2 linked regions of the Schizosaccharomyces pombe genome follow. The protein of the gene in region 2 interacts with the protein of the main gene of each other region in a pairwise test. Each region holds a gene or a part of one and is shown on either strand. Other genes may lie near its edges.

The links.
Region 1: the proteins of sds22 (region 2) and dis2 interact in binary tests that used the Schizosaccharomyces pombe proteins (3 or more experiments, as listed by UniProt).

The regions. Positions count from the first base shown.
Region 1 is NC_003423.3:3,172,492-3,177,072, forward strand, and holds dis2 (serine/threonine protein phosphatase PP1 catalytic subunit Dis2), read right to left. Parts: upstream 2,608-4,581; coding exon 2,556-2,607; exon of another isoform or gene 2,488-2,555; intron 2,207-2,487; exon of another isoform or gene 2,160-2,206; coding exon 1,228-2,159; 3' UTR 674-1,227; downstream 1-673. Other genes in the region: rpl29 (60S ribosomal protein L29), read left to right, coding at 1-70; hom6 (homoserine dehydrogenase), read left to right, coding at 4,203-4,242, 4,312-4,581. UniProt on the Schizosaccharomyces pombe protein: Essential role in cell cycle control. PP1 is perhaps required for exit from mitosis.
Region 2 is NC_003424.3:2,572,375-2,576,441, forward strand, and holds sds22 (serine/threonine protein phosphatase PP1 regulatory subunit Sds22), read right to left. Parts: upstream 2,168-4,067; 5' UTR 2,100-2,167; coding exon 1,977-2,099; exon of another isoform or gene 1,922-1,976; coding exon 1,046-1,921; 3' UTR 786-1,045; downstream 1-785. Other genes in the region: fatty acid synthase alpha subunit Fas2, read right to left, coding at 1-194; pts1 (20S proteasome complex subunit beta 5), read right to left, coding at 2,732-3,550. UniProt on the Schizosaccharomyces pombe protein: Essential for the mitotic metaphase/anaphase transition. Positively modulates protein phosphatase-1, possibly by forming a repeating helical rod that is capable of enhancing a PP1-dependent dephosphorylation activity.

The sequences.
Region 1 (4,581 bases), on a different chromosome or scaffold from region 2:
CCGCCGCAACCAAAAGTTTGCCAACCGTGGTACCGTCGAAGCTATTCGTCAAGCTAAGGCCTCTGCTTAAAATGCTTGGAATTAGTTGTCTTAGTTTGGTTTCTACATAAATGGCATAATTCAACGTTTTAAAAATTTTGGATTTCTAAAATGAGAATCTCGTTTGATTTGTGCTTCTAAAAATAAAGGTAGTCTGCCGGTTAAATTTAAAGCGAATGCGTAGAGTAAGCTCTTACTGGATGTATATGAATAGCTGTGACGTTCTGTTAATCTAAAGTAAATTGTATCATTGCACTTTTTAACAAAATTACCCGTGAGATTAATTGCGGTTGAACTTGTTTTTCGTGCTAGACTGATGATTCGCCCTTATACATATTGGCTAACTTTCGGCTAATCTTCACCGAATTTAGTCAAGAATTGGGTGGTACAAATTTTCTATTAATTGATAGTACCTTAGCAGCAGTATAAATCTGAATTTCTTAATATTATTATTGTGTTCATAGACTTGTTAGTGAGTACTCTGCTAACTCGCCGGTAAATAGCTGTAATGATAATAAGCACCTTACTCTCTCTTACGATTAAACGGTGGCTTTATATTATCAAATCCCAAGGAATGCCGAAACATTGTATAAGCCTACTGTATATAAACGTGTGAACTACCATAAAATAGCATCACTGAAAAGGAAATTTGATTGCATAGTAGTATAAACAATAACTAAATAGGCAAATTATTTTCCAACGTGAGACCAGTATACATAATTGAAATGAAAGACCTTTAAACAAAATTGTCAATGGTCATTATAAAGGATTCCACCGATAGCAAACAGAAGCTTGCAGCGGAAAATGCCATCATCAACGTTAAGCACTCTCTCGAAGATAAGAAGTATAAAGTAGTTCAAACAACTATTGCTCGGTAAAAACATCCGTCTTTTAAGCGTCAGATTTTGTTAAAAAAGGGAATTTAGATGATGAAAAATAAAAGGCAATAGTCTATATACATCTAACAATTGACGGAAAAGAAAGAAAATGAATAATGAAATGGTAGTGCAAAAAATAATTTCTTAAAAGAACATTCAGTTATTTCATGAACAATTAATCATCGACCATTGAGAAATGACGAAAAGAAATCCGTTCAAACAGCTACATAAAGCGGTATTATCGTCGAATTGTTGCTTGTGGAAAATGAAACCAACAAAAAAGAATGGGAGAAATTGGATTGAGCTTAAATTACTTTGAATTTCCTGTCTTATTCTTCCGAGGTGGAGTCATGTGCCAATTTTGACTTGAACCTTGGTATCCGTAGCGTTGTTTTTTTTCAGCCGGTTTCAAAATCTGGAAACTGCACAACAAGCTCTCGTCAACACTCATCATCGCACCTGCATTATCAAACTCGCCACAGTAATTAGGTGCACTGAACAATGTGACTAGCTGACGTTTAGAGAAGAACTCATAACCGTCTTCCACAACCTGATGGGCTCGGCAAACAAGATCCATATCGTGTTTGTGCAAAAACCGAGAGACAACATCAGGTCCAAACGTGAAAGAAACACCTCTATCATTATCACCCCAGCCTGTAAGATCCTTGTCAGGATCAGACCAAAGTAAATCACAGAGTAACCCAGTATCAGGGACATCGGTCGGTCGCATGATTCTTTGGATCTGGTCCATAGAGTTCAAATCTGGCGAAAGACCTCCATGCATAGTAAAAATTTTTTCATCAATGATAGCTGCTATAGGAAGGCAGTTGAAGCAATCTGTAAATGTTTTCCATAACTTAATGTTATAACGGCGCTTACATTCATCGTAAAATCCATAGATACGATTAATACTGGCGCATTCATGATTTCCACGTAAAATAAAAAAATTTTCGGGGTACTTGATTTTATAAGCGAGCAAAAGACAAATTACTTCCAAGCTTTGTTTTCCTCTGTCAACATAATCACCTAGAAACAGATAGTTGGCTTCTGGAGGGAATCCTCCGTACTCAAAAAGTCGAAGAAGATCGTAATATTGGCCATGAATATCTCCACAAATTTTCAAAGGAGCTTCAAGCTCTAGAAGGATAGGTTGACTAATAAATATTTCACGTGCTTTGTTACATAAAAATCGTATTTCATCTTCAGATAATTGAACCTGTCTACCTGGACGACTACCACGGACTAAAAGAAGTTAGTAAATAGCTAAATGGTTTAAATGGTAAAATTAAGGATGGAAGTATTGGTTAGAAAAATCATTCACACAGAAACACGATATATGCCAATATGCAATCGCATTTGAATACAAATATGCGTGATTATGTATATAAAGCAAGTGTCATCACAAATGAGACCAAGAATCAAAGAAAATGCTTTCTAAACGTTTTCAAAGAAAAAACTTTCCCTTTTTCCTGGGTTTTCCTCAAATTTTATGAACAGTTGAATGAACATTTACATAGAGTCGTTTCCAGTTTCTTCATGTAAATTATTGTATTAAACAACAACTGATTTCAATTTCCTTTCAAAAATTTGTCTAAACTCAACCCTTCATCATGATCAAGTCTGCTTTTCCCCACTCACCTTCTAACAAGCGGTCGATAATGGAATCCAAATCCACATCTGGGTTCGACATTTTACAGGTATCCAATATAACCGCTTTTGACACTTATGAAGTCAAATTTTTGGGTCTGTGATTAATTTTTTACTCGACCGAATTTCGACGATTTTTCTTCCAAGTAAAGTGTTCCGAGGAAAAGTAAGACGGACGGAGAACGGTATTCAGTCGGCAAACCGTTTAAAAGCAATATTTGCTGCTAACTCAGAAATAAAGGTTATGGCTAACAGTAGGAAACTGGAGTGAGTTGTATGTAGTAGGTAGTTGAATGGTTGGGTGGTGGGTGTACAACGAGCTTGATGCATAATATGTGCCTACTTTCCTATATTCCTAGTTTCTATAATCACTACTACATTAAAAAAACGTATATAAACCTATAATTAAATTACTTTGGAATTCTTTTCTTATATTAATTGTTGATTTTAAACAACCCTCTAAATCTTGCTGCTCTACAAATTGTCTAGCAAATTGATTCAATTTTCTTTATTAATAAAAGGTGAAGAATAATTTAAATATTTTAAGAGATAGCAACCTACTTCAAGATAATATCGGTTTATTGTTTTGCAAGAAAACTTCATTAGAATTTAAAATGGTATATTCAGAACATTTTAATTTCGCAGTATTTTATCATAATATTTTATTTTCTTCTAAGCTTGATTTAGAAAATAAATAAATAATTTAATGTATGTTATCTGAACTTTTAAATTGAAAAAGCTGCACCTGCTTATGATTTGAGTTTGCTAATCATAATAATATGCATATATAATTAACAAATTATATAGTCAGATTGGTTTCATTACAGTTTTTCATTTTCTTGAACCCTAGACTTTTCTCTTCAAAAATCTCTTTTTTTTTTTTTTTTTTTTTTTTTTTTAATAATAAAAAAGCAAATTTGATGGATGGAATGTGATTTATTTAGACACTTAGCAGCATATAATTTAATTTACGAAGCAAAAAATTAAATATTTTTTTTCACGAGTCGATAAACACTAATAAATCACATAAGTTGATTAAGTGGTTTTTATTAATTGTAAAAGTAAATATATGATTGTATGCCATTGAATCCCATATATGAAATTTAATGCGTTATATTTATAATTTGTGATTAATTTATATAAATCGGCTTCTATACTAGATTTCTAGCTAAGTTTATTTAGCGGAGCTTCAATAAAACAAAATCAAATTAAATAAAATTTGTATCAAACGAAATCAACATCATTATTGCTACAGTAATAGATTTTGCGCTTTTGAGTATTATTACAAATATGTTCTGACTCGATTAATATAATGTCGCTCACATTTTGTTCACAACAAATATACCTGCAAAACTTTGATATCAATCAGAGAGAAAGATCCTTCCTTGGTTGAAAACTCATTTTTGGGTATAAAATAAACTCTTCTAAAAAATGTTTGGTATGACAATATTTAGACATGGAAAAAATTTAAATCTCCCTAAATTATCTACACTTTCTAAAATTTTATTTCCCTACAACAAAATTATCAATTCGTATATCACCTCTTCCAAAGTTTCCTTTGAGAAAACCCTTGTCACTGCTTTTCGTAATCCGACCCAACGTCGTAGCATCTCTACCTCTCCCACCCACTATTTGAAAATGTCAGCTAGCAGAACTAACGTTAACGTTGCTATTGTTGGTAAGCACACAATAAATTGAATGCTTGAATGTTTTGTAAAGCGAAAGCTAATCACTTAAAAATAAATAGGTACAGGAAACATCGGCGGTGAACTCTTAAACCAAATTAAGGGTTTTAATGAAAACGCTTCTACCAATGGCACTACCTCTTTTAACGTTGTTGCCATTTCTAGTATGGAAGGTCACTACGTCTCCAAGGATTATCAGCCCATTAATTTGTCTGAATGGAAGAACCTTACTTCTCAGAACCAAGGTGCTTATTCATTAGATGCTTTGGTAGATTTCCTTGCCAAGTCCCCCCTTCCCGCCATTTTGGTCGATAACACTGCCTCTGAAGCAA
Region 2 (4,067 bases):
TTCAATTTCAAGGTACGCTTAGCCATACCAGCTAAGGTAGGACTAGGTCCAATTTCGACGATACGTTCAGCCGATACTGGAGGAGAAAGAATTACATCTTGCGTCTCAATCCAACGGACAGGAGATGCAAACTGGTATGCAAGCAACTCCAATAATAAAGTATGAGCAAGCTCCTGCTCAACTTCTGGTCTCATTATTCAAATGGTTTAACAAAACTCCAACACCTGCTTTAGTTGTTGGTTCTAGTTAACTTGATCCTTTACTATCGCGTGGGAACACTCAGGTTAAACCTATCAGCTTTGAAGCATGTAACGAATATTTAACGCATCGTTATCAAATATAGCGAATTAGCAACTGCTTGTGGCATAATTAACATTTTATCACTCTCTACTACACAGTATAGTAAGCTTGTAAAATACTTTTGAGTAATTATCAGTTATAGAAAGATTTTAGAGAGAGATTTTGTTAAATATAAGATCATCTCTTTTTCAATTTAGTAAATTTAGCAATAAACAAGAAGCATCTTACCTTGTTGGAATTGAGCGTTAGGTGCTCAGTTTTATCATTAGTCGAAACAAAGTACACTGTTTACCAATAGTCTATTTAATAATAAGAGTATTATTTTTATCGCGATCTGCGAGAGCTTTTAAACTAAACACGTATTTCGACTATGTGAGATAACTATAAATATAGAATTTACCAGTATACGTAAAACTAAGAAAAACCATATAAAACTATTTGCCAACTTATATCTACCTGCCACCGATTTTATACGCAATTCTTTTCCAGCAAATTACATAACTTTTCAAGTATGAGTGTAAACGTGATCAACTAACATACTATCTAATAGATAGATGACAACGAAAAAAGCATTTTACTACTAAAGTGTACTCTCAATCGTAGAGAACTGTTCAATTGTAAGATGTATCTAATAAATCTTTAGTCGTATACTTTCTTTCAATACTTTGGTTGTATAGCATTAACGGAGGGAAACCATATTGAAATGTTTTAAATTAAGAGATTTTATAGTCAATCCATATAACGATTAGGGGAATTGCTTCGAAGTTTTGGGGATAATAGTTGCATCTATTTGGCGTAACTGTGGAAGACATAATCTAACTTTGTTACGGTAAACAGCAGGATTGGTTTTCTGCAAAGGATTTCCCTCAAAATAAACGGTTTCAAGTTTTTTAAGACCAGAAAGCTCGTCTTCAATTTCTTGAAAAGAAGACAGTTCGTTATTGCTAGCCCATAATTCTACTAGATTTTTTAGTCCCGCTAAGTATGAAAGGTGCTTAATCATGTTGTTGGAAACATCCAAAATTTCAAGGTTTTCGAGGACCTCAATACCAGAGAAACTAGTTAGACCATTATGCGATACATATAATTCTCGAAGACAATGGGATAAGCAGGCCAAGTTTTCAAATTGAGTTATTCGATTTGATTGAATTGATAAAAGAGAAAGTTTCTGTAATTTTTCAAAATTCTCGAATTTGGTTATTTTGTTTTTGCCAACCCAGAGTTTTTCTAAATTAACTAAAGTATCCAAATTCTCAATTACTCTTATTTTGTTCCCCCCCAATTCAAGGTTCGTTAACCTGTCTAAACCTTCTAAATTTTCAATTCTCCTAATTCTGTTTTGGACAAAGAAGAGGTTTTCTAAGCCCTTTAAATGGTTAATGTTTCGAATCGTTTTAATATTGTTGAAAGACAGATCCAAGTAAGTGAGATTTTTGACATTATCCAAGTTTTCAATTCTGACAATTAAGTTGTCATACAAATCCAATTCAGTCAATGTTTCTGGAACTGATTCAATTTTCTTGATTTGATTTTGGCGAAGACATAAACTCTGTAAATTTTTAAATCTTTCAAGTCCAAGAGATGCCATGCTTTGTATACGAGACTGAATAAGCTCTACGCACTATATTAAGTTGGTTAGCTATATTTCAATTTAATGATTTAAAGATATCATTTACATCGACGTCGTCCGGCACATCATCAAGCAGATCTTCATCTGCATCGATTTGCTGGACATCAGGGTCATCAATGATAAGCTGTGTCTCAGGAGCAATTCCATCTTCACTGGAAACGTTACTCATTGTAAAAAAAGGCGATATAATAAAAAGGGCAAACGTGTTACAAACGAAAGTACTATATGCTTTCAAGTAGAGTACCGTGACAACATAACGACGCTTTAGGAAGCAACGATACTCTTGCTATAGCTTTTTACAAATCTGTATAGTTTTTATCGAATCGTTAAAAAACTCACTATAGTGAAACTCATAGCATACCGCAACATAAAATAATCTTATTCAGCGAAAATCATTAAGTTGACTAAATGCTAAACAATCCCAATTGCAGCTTAATTGTTTAACAATCGTTAGTACTCATCACATTAATGGAACAATTATCATATGGTGTGTATAGATTTATTAATGAACGATAACTTACACGGTAATATAACCCCCTCCTCGAATACTGATAAAAACAGATTTGAAAACAAGGTTCATTTCAAGTCATGTTAAGCTAGTCAATCAAATATATGGCAATGTGAAATTGTACATTCTCTGAAAGAAGTTACAAACGATGTATAGTTTACGGAATTGACTTCGACATTCAAATATAAGGGTATAAAATAAATGAATAAATGACAGTTGACCTAGAAGGGAATAGCAAATAACAACGTCTCATTTAATACACCGATGACACATGACTACTAGCAAGCATGAGTTTAGCGAGGGATATGAGCAAAGGAGTTTTCGTTATCTTTTGCTTCCCATATAAGACTATCAACATCAAAGTTTCCATGGAAGACCCAACCATTTTCATCAATGTGATAAAGATTTACTGAGCCACCAGAGTATGCATCTCTGTGAGTGGCAGCAACAATAGAGCGCTGAGCTAAATAAAGAGCTTCTTGTTTAGATAAGTCCCAGCGATATCCAGAGTCCAAAACACCGTACGCAAATGTAGAACCTGAACCAACGGAAAACAAATCACCTTTCAATCGGGTGCCATCACTGTCGATGTAGTAAAGTGCAGTACCACCTTTTCCTGTTCCAGCAAGCATAGTACCCATGCTAAGTCCATAACCCTTGTATGAATAAGTAATGTTTGAAAGAATTTTGCTAGCAGCAGAAACAGAGATTAACTCCTTATTTCTAAGTTGATGTAAACGACATTCCATTCCTAGAACTGTCTCCCAAAACTGACAGTCAGCTGCACCACCAGCAAGAGTACCTAAAAGATATGGGTTTATCTCTATAACTTTTTTAACGGTTTGTGAAGCAATAAGAGGACCGGCAGATGCTCTCGAATCTACACAAACAACGATACCATGTTGGTAACGAAAAGCTAAAGTAGTAGTACCATGATTCATTTTAATAAGACAATGCTTGTTTTTCGTTTCATCTGTTAAGTTTCGTAAATAAAGAGAAGATTGAGGCACTGGTACGACATCAAATCGATTTGTAAATCCTTCTTCTTCTATTATTTTTTTTGGGTCATCATTGTTAGTACTTTGTGTATACTTAGATACGATAGAATTCATGATTAAAGAATAGTATTACGCTCTTAGCACGTTCGTCGCTCAGTCAGCTTACGGCAAACACTCAATATAGCGACTCTCTTAGAAATCGCTATTATAATATTTGGAACACTACCGCGACTACTGTTATGACTAAACGCAAAAGAAGCGAAAAATGTCAAACATTTTTAAAAATAAGTTTTTGTCAAATTTAAATTATTTTTGTTTTCTAGACTTAATAGTAATATTTCAGCTGATTTTGTATATTTATCTAACATTTTAGGAATGCCAATTTATGAGTCCATGTGACCTATCTAGCATGTTGGGAAAACAAAGAAACTATCGTTTTAGCGTGCCATTTTACAGTTACGTTAAATAAGTATACCGATGCTTAAAACTGGCAAATAAAAAACAACAGAAAGTTACACTCTTCTTTTTACTCAATTACCTATACCTAGACGCATCTGTTTAACGGGAAAACGATAATATAATTACTTCTCGTAGTTCTAGCACATATATAGTTTTTTGAAGCTCACTTGAG